Drosophila melanogaster: one gene and its partner. The protein of the gene in region 2 interacts with the protein of the main gene of each other region in a biochemical or structural test. Each region holds a gene or a part of one and is shown on either strand. Other genes may lie near its edges.

What was found. The genes of interacting proteins can lie anywhere in the genome.
Region 1: the proteins of dpr9 (region 2) and DIP-beta form a complex in vitro, tested with the Drosophila melanogaster proteins (one study listed by BioGRID).

Annotation. Positions count from the first base shown.
Region 1 is NC_004354.4:21,454,699-21,459,729, reverse strand, and holds the start of DIP-beta (Dpr-interacting protein beta), read left to right. Parts: upstream 1-1,991; 5' UTR 1,992-2,179; exon of another isoform or gene 2,180-2,264; intron 2,265-5,031.
Region 2 is NT_033777.3:15,074,170-15,078,841, reverse strand, and holds the start of dpr9 (defective proboscis extension response 9), read left to right. Parts: upstream 1-1,635; 5' UTR 1,636-1,806; intron 1,807-2,555; 5' UTR 2,556-2,712; intron 2,713-4,672. Other genes in the region: CG6974 (uncharacterized protein), read left to right, coding at 1-312.

The DNA of each region.
Region 1 (5,031 bases), on a different chromosome or scaffold from region 2:
AAGGATACAGGTCGCCTAGAATACCAAAAACGTTTTATGAGCGCACAAGAAGATCTTGGTGTGAAAAACTGGATCTACACCGATGGTTCTAAAGTCACCGGCGCAACTACTTTTGCGGTCGTTGACTCTAACCGTAAAATAATTGCAGGAGGTAGGCTTCCGTCCTACAACTCCATATTTACAGCCGAAGCTTTCGCCATTCTCAAAGCATGCCAATTCGCTTCCAAAAACGCTGGAAAATCTGTTATCTGCACAGACAGCCTCTCCTCTCTTTCCGCTATACGCAACTGGAACCATAATGACCCCACAACACAAGAAGTTAGGCACATTCTAAGTTCTCACCCAAAAAAAATCACCTTACTCTGGGTTCCCAGTCATCAAGGTATTCATGGGAATGAACTTGCTGACAAAGCCGCCCAAGAGATGAGGCTTACACCATCAATCCTGTTCACTCCGTTTAACTCCAAGGACCTAAAAAGTCGAATCAAGTTATACCTCAAAGAAAGGAAACTCTCCGAATGGGCACTCTTCATGCACAGGTACCAGTCTATCAATCCGAATTGCATCATGTTCAAGCCACCAACGAACGTACATAAACGGGAATGCGCGACCTTTATCCGTCTACGCATCGGGCACACCCAATCCACACATCAACACTTACTGACGAGATCGGCGCGACCAACATGCCAACTATGCGGGGACGAGCTCACCGTTGACCATATTCTCAACGCCTGCAGTCAATTGCACTCAATTAGATCTCACTTATTTGGTACACATAGTCTCTCGAATTGTTTAAGTATCCCATCCTGTGAAAATATCTCAAAAATTTACAAATTTGTCCAAAAAGCTAAGTTTATTATATAAAGCAATTAACCCATAAGTCTCGAGTCGAAGGCCCCCGTAGCTAGTACTCATTAAATTTAATTAGGTTTAGTATTGTATACTATATTTAATTTTGTTAAATAAATAAATAAAATAAGATGATGTGCTCAAAACAAGTTTTGTTACCTAACCTAGCTAAGAAACAATGCAATCTGGAGTCGTTGACAAGTATGTATGTAACAGAAGCAGAAGGAAGTGTATAAAAACTAGTGACTAGTCTTACAAGTTATCTTCAAACGTTATAGTTACAGTTGTCGTTAATGTCTAGCTAAAATGTTCCTATTTTTTCAACAACAAAAACTGCCTTAATCGAACTATTGCAACCTATGTAAAGTAAATTAAGTAAAAGTTAAGTCTATTGAGACTTCTGCTTGCTTCCACCTTTCCATCTCCCTTGCACAGTCCTTAGGTGATTAATAAATATCCGATAGTCGCATTCATTAAAATCTTTTTTTGGAAATTTAATTAATATGTTTTAAAAAGTGATCAAGCAAAATAAAGATATATTTTCTAACGTTCGATTTATTTTCAATATGCTTTCGTCTTTCTTTGACTTTTCCTAATTTTTTGCACAAGGTAAGGCTTAAAATATCGTCAAAAGTCGGCTGATATAAATTCTATATGTATTCCAAAACAGCTAACAATGTTATATCCCATTTGAAAAATGATGAAAGCGAACAACCGAAAAACTAGCTCTTGGTAAAACATACAGCCTTTTATATTTCAGCAATTGGTTTCTGTATAACTTTAACTCGTTTTTCTTTTCTTTTAGAATGTTTTTCAACCAATAATAATCAACTGGGCAAAACTAACCACTTATGCAGATCTCTGCGTTTTAAGTTAAGGCAATTGCTCTAGTAAATTTACCAGCTTCTAAATGTTGCTGGCAACATGTTGCCAGAGGACAAGCACTGACGCCTTCGTCCGCCACACGAGCTCGTCCTTCGGAAGCATTTCGGCTGGCCTCGGGATGGCAGGCACGGGACACGGGACTCCACAGTGCCAGGACATCGGAAGTCGGGAAATTGGGAAATCGGGATGGCCGTGCTGCCGAAGGACGAGCACATTGCGCTGGGTCGGCCCAATGCGAAACGCGCTTGGTGCGACAGGTTCAGTGCTCGGGCAACTTCCTAGCGCGTCGGTTCAGTTCAGTCCAGTGGATTCGAGACACGAAAGGACTCAGTTTCAAACTAAAAATTCCAAAGTTTCGAAAACGGGTTTCGAGTGGCGCGAAACAACAACGATACAATGATACAATTACTCTAGCTGAAAGTCGAGAGAAGAGTTTTTGACAAGTGTTAGTTGATTATTTTCAAGTTTTTTTTTAGTGTTGGCCAGTGCTTTGGACTAGTTTCGAAGCTTTGCTTGTTTTTTCGAACAAGGTAATTCTAAGACCCAAAAATTCAAAAGTTTTTCGCGAAGCATACGATGTGAGCTGTGACTGCGTATTTAGAAATTACTACACTAGTGAGGTGAAGCCAATCCCTCGTTTAGTCCTTTACTCCATTGCCCGTCGATCGCTGCCTAAATCATTTCACATACGCTTGTTCACTCATTTGTCAATTGCATTATCGGTGGTATGTTAGCATTCCCTTTCTTTTCTCAGCCTTTCAACCAATTGTTACACCAATCGAGTTGTTTTCTTGCGAATTCTCTCGACTGTTCATGAGTGAATTCCTTTTCAGTTCATTGAATTTCTATGTCCTTTCCGTTTTCTAACATTAACTTTCTTTGTTTGCATTTATGTGAGTCACTCGTCACTCGTTGGAATCCTTTATTCTCGTTTCTTGTTTTCAGTAAATAAAACAGTTGATTTGCCAAGTTGCAAATTAACTTTTGCCAGTTTTTTTTCCCAAAAACAACTATCTTTATACCTTCGTGTGGGGAAAATGTAGTCACCTTTTATGGTCAAAATCATATCGTACATTTTGTCGCATACTAACGATTTGATAAATTGTTTAACATAATTATAAAACTGTCAGCTTGTGTTCTTTTCGTTTTTAATTGTTTGTAATTATATATTTTATATAATATGATAGCATACATTACACATTGCAAAAATTAAGTAAGGTTTTCAATATCTTTTTTAGTGGTTTGTAAGACGATCCGAATTCAATTTTATTTTAAATCCGGTATCCATGTATTGCTTTGAACCCTTTTTGTGTTTCTGATTTCCTTCAAGAACTTTCACCCACCTGAACTTTAAAACCCCATTCAATCTCTCGCTCATCCCTCGCCATCCGCCACCAGTTTGGCACATTCTTGAGGTACCTTTTCTGGAAGACTCCTCCGAAACTTTTTGCCATCGAACAAAAGGCGCCAAAATGAGACTGCAGCATCCAACTAGCAGGCCAAGTTTTTAGTTGGCAATGATTTATGTTTTATTAATATTAAAAGTGATTTATTAGCCATGAAATTTGTGAGCCAACTTGGTCGTTGGCCCTTATTCGACCAGGTGAAGGGAGTGCTGGCTGCATGCGCGATTTTTTAATTACAGATGGAGTGGGACAGGGAGTACTGTCCAGCTGCAGGCTCCATTATCCTTAAGCGCGGACCTGGCCGCTCATTATCCCGACGTCCGAACTTAAGCTAAACTGCTGCACAGCGAGATTAAAATTGTAAATGACAGCCAGCGTGACAGGACAAGGAAGGAGCAGGCATCTGCTCGTCCTTTAATGTCCTGCGCCGTCCAGCCACGCCCCTCTGCGCCCCTCTGCGACCCTGTTCGCAACCATCCGCTCCCCACCCACCAGCCGTCGCATTTTGTCGTGTTTTTAATGAAAATTAATTAATTAAATAACGTTTTTACTCATTCGCATCGCCTTGCCCAGCAATTGTCTTCCCTTGTGCGCAGGTGTGCGTGTGAGGATGCATTTTATATTAAATAATGAAGTGTGTAAAATGTATGCAGTGGCACACAAAAAGAGCAAAGAGGCAAATGAAAGGGCTTTATGCGGCAAATGTAAATTTGGACCTTTTTGGGCACAGGAAATCTCAAGCTTCAAAGTGCACAGAGAAAATTGTAAACGCAATTTTCCAAAATCTTTATTAATGGTTTTTTTTTGGGAAACTTTACTTTGGGAACGTAATTAATTTTATTATTGGTCTCGAATAATCAAAATTTATGTGCAACATTTTGTCATTATATTTGGGAACCCTTTTTGCAAAATGTATACAATGCATACTTCCGAAATACCTAATTTTTTTTGTTTGCCTGTCGAGAAATTCCCCGAAACTTCCCAAAGCCATTGCCAAATTTTGGCATCTCGGTCAACACAAAAAAAGTCATGCACTTCAGTTAGCATTAATTTGAAATTTGACTGAGACTCATCTCGATTCCATCTGGTTAACCGGAACCAAGGCAAGAAGCTTCGCGACTCCTTGTCCGCCGTGTCTAGTGGTTAATCAACTAATATCTTATAAAATCCGAATGGAATCCATCCGAATTCATAATAGAAAAGGGATCTTTGGTTTTGTGCTGCGTCTGGGAGATTGGAAATATTTCTCGATCTTTGTACTGAGCACAGAGGAATTGTGTGCGAGTTCTGCGCCTATGGAACTATTTGTATTGGTCTGAACTGACCCTGAACTGGCTCACATTGGAACCGAAATATATGATGATCTCCAAATTTAATTATCAGAAATGAATTTGAAACACTTCCACATATAAACTCAGTTACTTAGAGTAAACGTAGTCACTTAAAAGAACCTGAGTACTTAATTATAAATTTAAAAAAGGTTTTAAAATATTATTTTTCTAATTATCTTGCAAGCCCCTACAGAACGCCAAAGACATTTTTGCTTGGCGCCCATAAGCCTAGAACCTGTCTGCTTTTCAGATTCAGGCTTTAAATCTTGTTGAAGGTGGAGGGGAATATTTCATTATCACTATCCATTCACATGCCAAAAATTGTTTGCATCCACTCATTACAATGTTACCGTCAAAATAATGTATGCCACATCCTCCATTTACCTAGCCCTTAGGGGTATAATTAAAAATGAGTTCTAATTGAAACTGTAGTTTGCCCTCATAATACATTTACTTTTCAAGCTACTTTGTCTCCGATTCTGACGAACCTTTTGAGACTTTAAAAGGATATTTAAATGTCGGCTTATTGGGTCTAAGCGAAACAAGTTATGTACATATGA
Region 2 (4,672 bases):
ACCCTTCACCTGCTGGGCCTTTTCCACGAGCAGAGTCGTCCCGATCGCGATGAGTACGTGCAAATCGACTACGACAATATCCCGAGGAAATACTGGTCGCAGTTCATGGCCATGGATCAGACAACCACCTTCAATGTTCCATACGATTACGAGAGCGTTATGCACTATTCGAAGAACGCCTTCGCCAAGGATCCCTCAAAGCCAACAATTCGTGCCCTAATCGGTGGTAAGGCTGTGGAGAGGGAAATGGGTCAGGTGCGAGGACCTTCCGAAGGGGATTGGACCAAAATTCGTTTGATGTACAAGTGCTAGAGTGGAGGAAGAATTCTGCGAGGACTAGGATTGGTTAATAAATATGTTGCGTTCTAAAGTGGATGTGTTTAAATGGAATGGTTTAATATGCAAACTTTCAGACCGATTGCATGGTTTTTCAATCTTTTATGGCTTTTCATTTAAGTCTATCACTAAGTCATTTAAGCCCCACCCACCCGAAAAGTGCTACCCGTTTAATGCTACCCAATCATTCAGTGTCCGTTAACTGGAAAAACGTTTTTCCAGCCTCTTGAAAATGGGTAGCCCCGCTCGAACATAAAGGAAATCCAAATCCAAGCCCAAGGCGAATGCATTTGATTTCACAGAAGTGCAAGTGTAAGTGTCAGTTAACTTTGAAGCAGACTAAGGAGCAGTTGGGGAAGAAAGCGGGGCTTCTCAATGCTGAATGGGGTCTGCCGTGGATTGGGCATGAGTCCAAACGACTGGGCAGCAAACAATCCGAATCCCTGGCACTTAATGTGCACTAAGTGCTTAAGAAGGCCGAGTGTCTGGAGCTGCCTATTAGAAGTCTCTCACTCCCCTGGCCAGTAACCACCCACTTTGGATCAGGATACCATTTCATGGATAGCAATTGCGGAATTTAAATAACCTTTTTAAATCCCTGACAGCTTTGCAAAAATCGAATTGTACGAGTTAAAGAATCAACCAAGCAAGAAGAAATTTTCATCTGCTTAAATTTAAAGAATATATCTTTGCTATAAAGAATCCAATTATTTTGACATGAATTATCTTATATGCCCAGATAGAAATAATATTTACTGAAATGTGACGAATATTATTTAATAGCTTTGACCTTTAAAGAAAACTGTCAGAAAACAAACCAATAAAAGCTAATAAATGTGCCGCATGGTAGTAAGAGAGTATTCCTGTATCTCCACTAATAATTTAGCAACAACATACAACGAATGTGTAAATGTTTGCTTAAAGGAGAATATAAATAACAAACAAAAGAATAAACGCTGTAGTTTACCCTTTTGAGTGGTACAAAATAGCACTATTGGCAAGTGTTGAGTTCTGCAAAGCGGGGCAAAGAGTTGTGGCTTCGTAAGGATGCCAACAGATGGCCATTAAATGCTTGCCTTAAGAGAGCCGGATATCAAAGAGACTCCACATGTTTCGGGAAGTTCGAAAGTGCCATCGGTGAGAGTGAAGACCGACTGGAAGTGAGCTGGCAGGATGAATACATTTTGGCCCACTGTTCTAGGCGGAAAAGCTCGCTCTCTCGCCGAAAAAGGGGAAGAGGAAAATGGGAGCTTTGGCTGGTCGCCTGGCTTTTCAAGCCGACGCCGTTCGTGTGGCTTTCAGTGTATTCAGTGCAGTCGTATCGTTCGGTTCGTTCTCACGGTGAAAAGCGGTGGAAGGTCCTGTTCGGAGGACAACCTCAATACGCCACTCACACACGCACAAGTGGGCTTACTCACACGGACACGGGTGCGCTAGTCGAAAGTAAAAGTTGTCCAGTGTGCCATAAAGGTAAATAATAAATGAGCCAATGTGAAATATACGCACGCAATGTGAAAGCAACGAAATATATGAAGAAATCTACGGAAAAATGAAAATCTAGACCTGCGTGCCAGTGTGCAAAATCAAGTATGCAACACTTAAGTGAAACGAATATCCCAAAATAAAGTGTGCAAGAGTGCCAGCGATCCTTGAATATTCGAGTACCAAACTAAAATACTAAGCCAGACTAAAACTAAAAACCGAACCTGCCCCAACTGATCCTTCACCTCAATTCTTACCTATCAAGGCCACACGGCGGCTGTGGCATATTAACGTTGCACTCGTTGCACGTTGCACATACAGCCAACTCACACAAAAAATGTTATTCATCTTCGCGTGCTGTTTTGTTTTTTAAGACCGCCAAGGTCGTCCAGGAATACGTATATCTCTTAACGCGGTCCGAGAATTTTAGAAATAATTATAAGAAATACTTTGGGGTTTCCTTTTAAAATTTCTCGGAAAATGTTGCGATTTTCCCTCGTCTGAACTTTTGCTTTTTAACTTTTTTCTTTCGCCTTCCCTTTGGGGCTCATAAATTAGGGTCGCATTCCGCTTAACCGGGAATATTTGCATAAAATGGGAAAAAGGGCGAGAAATGGTTTAAATACGGGAATCACACGGCTGAGATATTCAACACATGAAAAAAAGGGGGCATATAAAATGAGTTCACAGGCCTTGATGGGTTGAGATAAAGCAAACATTAAAGTCCCTTTATTTAGATGATAAAAAATTGAAAAACAAAAGTGAAAATTAGCACTGCGAAAATTCCAAGGTTCATAAAGATTCGGTACCGAAACTTTTGAGTTTTATCAAAAACCCAAACATCGAAAAATTTGCAACAAAACAGGATCAAAGGACAACAGCAGCGCAGCAAAGGTGAGCCCTTTTAATTTTATTGAGCCAATTATCCAATAATTTCATTAACTAGTTAACACCAATAATCATGTATTTCCTTACAAAAAAAAAAAAAAAACAAAAACACATATCAACCAATGTGTCATTGTTTGAGTTTGGGTGGTGCGTTGGTTTTCCCAGTGGCGGAAAAGCCAAGCCAACGGGTGGTACGGTTACATTTTTATTTATTGTGATATTTTTTTTCGCTGTTTCTCTTTGCTGTGGTTAGAAGTTGTTCAGGAAAAAATGTTGCCGGTGGGAGGAGCTTGGATTGTTAGCTCAATTTAATTATGAAAATGCCAAGAATTTCTCTGGGCACACACGTGCCTAAACATACAGGTGGGTGGTATTCCAATCAACTTATTTTATTAAATGTTGTGGGGGAAGGACACCAAATTTATGCTCCTAAAAGCTTATATTAAGACTCACTGATGGAAAGGTGTTATAAATAATAATGACTATTTTTAATTAATATACAAACGGAATATTATAAGTGTTATAAGTATTTGAGAGCTACTTGTTGGTTAATTAAAATTTTATCAGGCAACTGAACATAAACCTGATTCAGTTACTACGAACTGAAATTTTGTTCTTCGGAAACATACTAATAAGCCTATTTAAACTCTTTTAAGTTCTTGAAATTAATTAGCTAATGATCCATTATTTATAATGAAACATTATTGCTAAGAACCATAAATTCGCGATGGGTAAGGCTTACATTTAAATAGGTCACGTGAAATGCCTTCGTTTTCAGTTTTACTAAGAGTCGTAGCTTTCCACTCATGTGGCACATATTTCTGTGGCATCCACCACAAATTTCCATTACTGAGATTGCCTTAGAAAATATGCTTAGATGCTACACCTTTGACCACTTTCCCAACACCATTACCTGTGAGCTCAGGGAAAAGGTAACTAAGACTTTCCGCCCGACAAGATTGCCATTTTATGCTAGACATTTTCTAAGAAAATAAAACAACATTTTATTTACACGCTGCTTCAGCAAGGTCACTTATTATGGAACTTTGCGCGTCAGAAAGTTGCCCAAATACATAAATTATTTTTATTGTACTTAACCTTTTTTTTTTTTGCCTTGACTTTCCCTATTCATTGTCTGGCCCAAATCAGCTTAAGTCACACAGAAAAGAAATTCATAAGCTTGCTTTAAGATGCGAGTAACCGAAAGATACAAATAAGTGAAGTAGGCCGAACAGAAAATAGGCTTTAAAAGCTGTTTGGTTACTCTATAAAATATTTCGGTTGAGCTTATAGAATTTCAGAACGACATTAATAACCCTTCTTTCGTTAGAAAAAAAAGGGTTATAATATTGAGCCAAATTATAAGCAAAAAATTGTATTTTATGTGCATGGTTTCCTACAATTCATCGAATTGGATTGATACAAAAAGTAACTGTAGCTGATTAAACTTGCTTATGACTCTATGACCTGAATATATTTTCCCATTTAATCAGCTTACAATTGTTGCAATATTTTTTTAAATGGCACAATAAAGTTGAAAATGCAATGGAAGTGCAACACAAAACGCGTCCATTATATTTGTTTTGGCATTGACATATTTACTTGATTTAAATTTTTATGAATACCCTTTTGTTTACTTGTGAAACTCTTTGAGCGTACAATTTTGAATGAATGAAATATTATGCAAATGTTTGATAAATAGCAGGAAATCAAAAGCAAACAAAAGGAGAAAATTGTTAAGCAAAAATATAATTGATGGCAATCGCACACAATTGCAGCCGAGCGAAGACATAATTAAAAGAAATATATATGTATATGTATATATGCGTACGTATGGGTGTATTAATCAAACATAATTACTCTGGTCATGCATATTTGATTAATCGGTTAAAAGGAAGGTCCTGTGGTCGTGTTCCACTTTTGTTTGACCTGACAGCTGTCGCTTTAAATGTCAATGCATTGATGA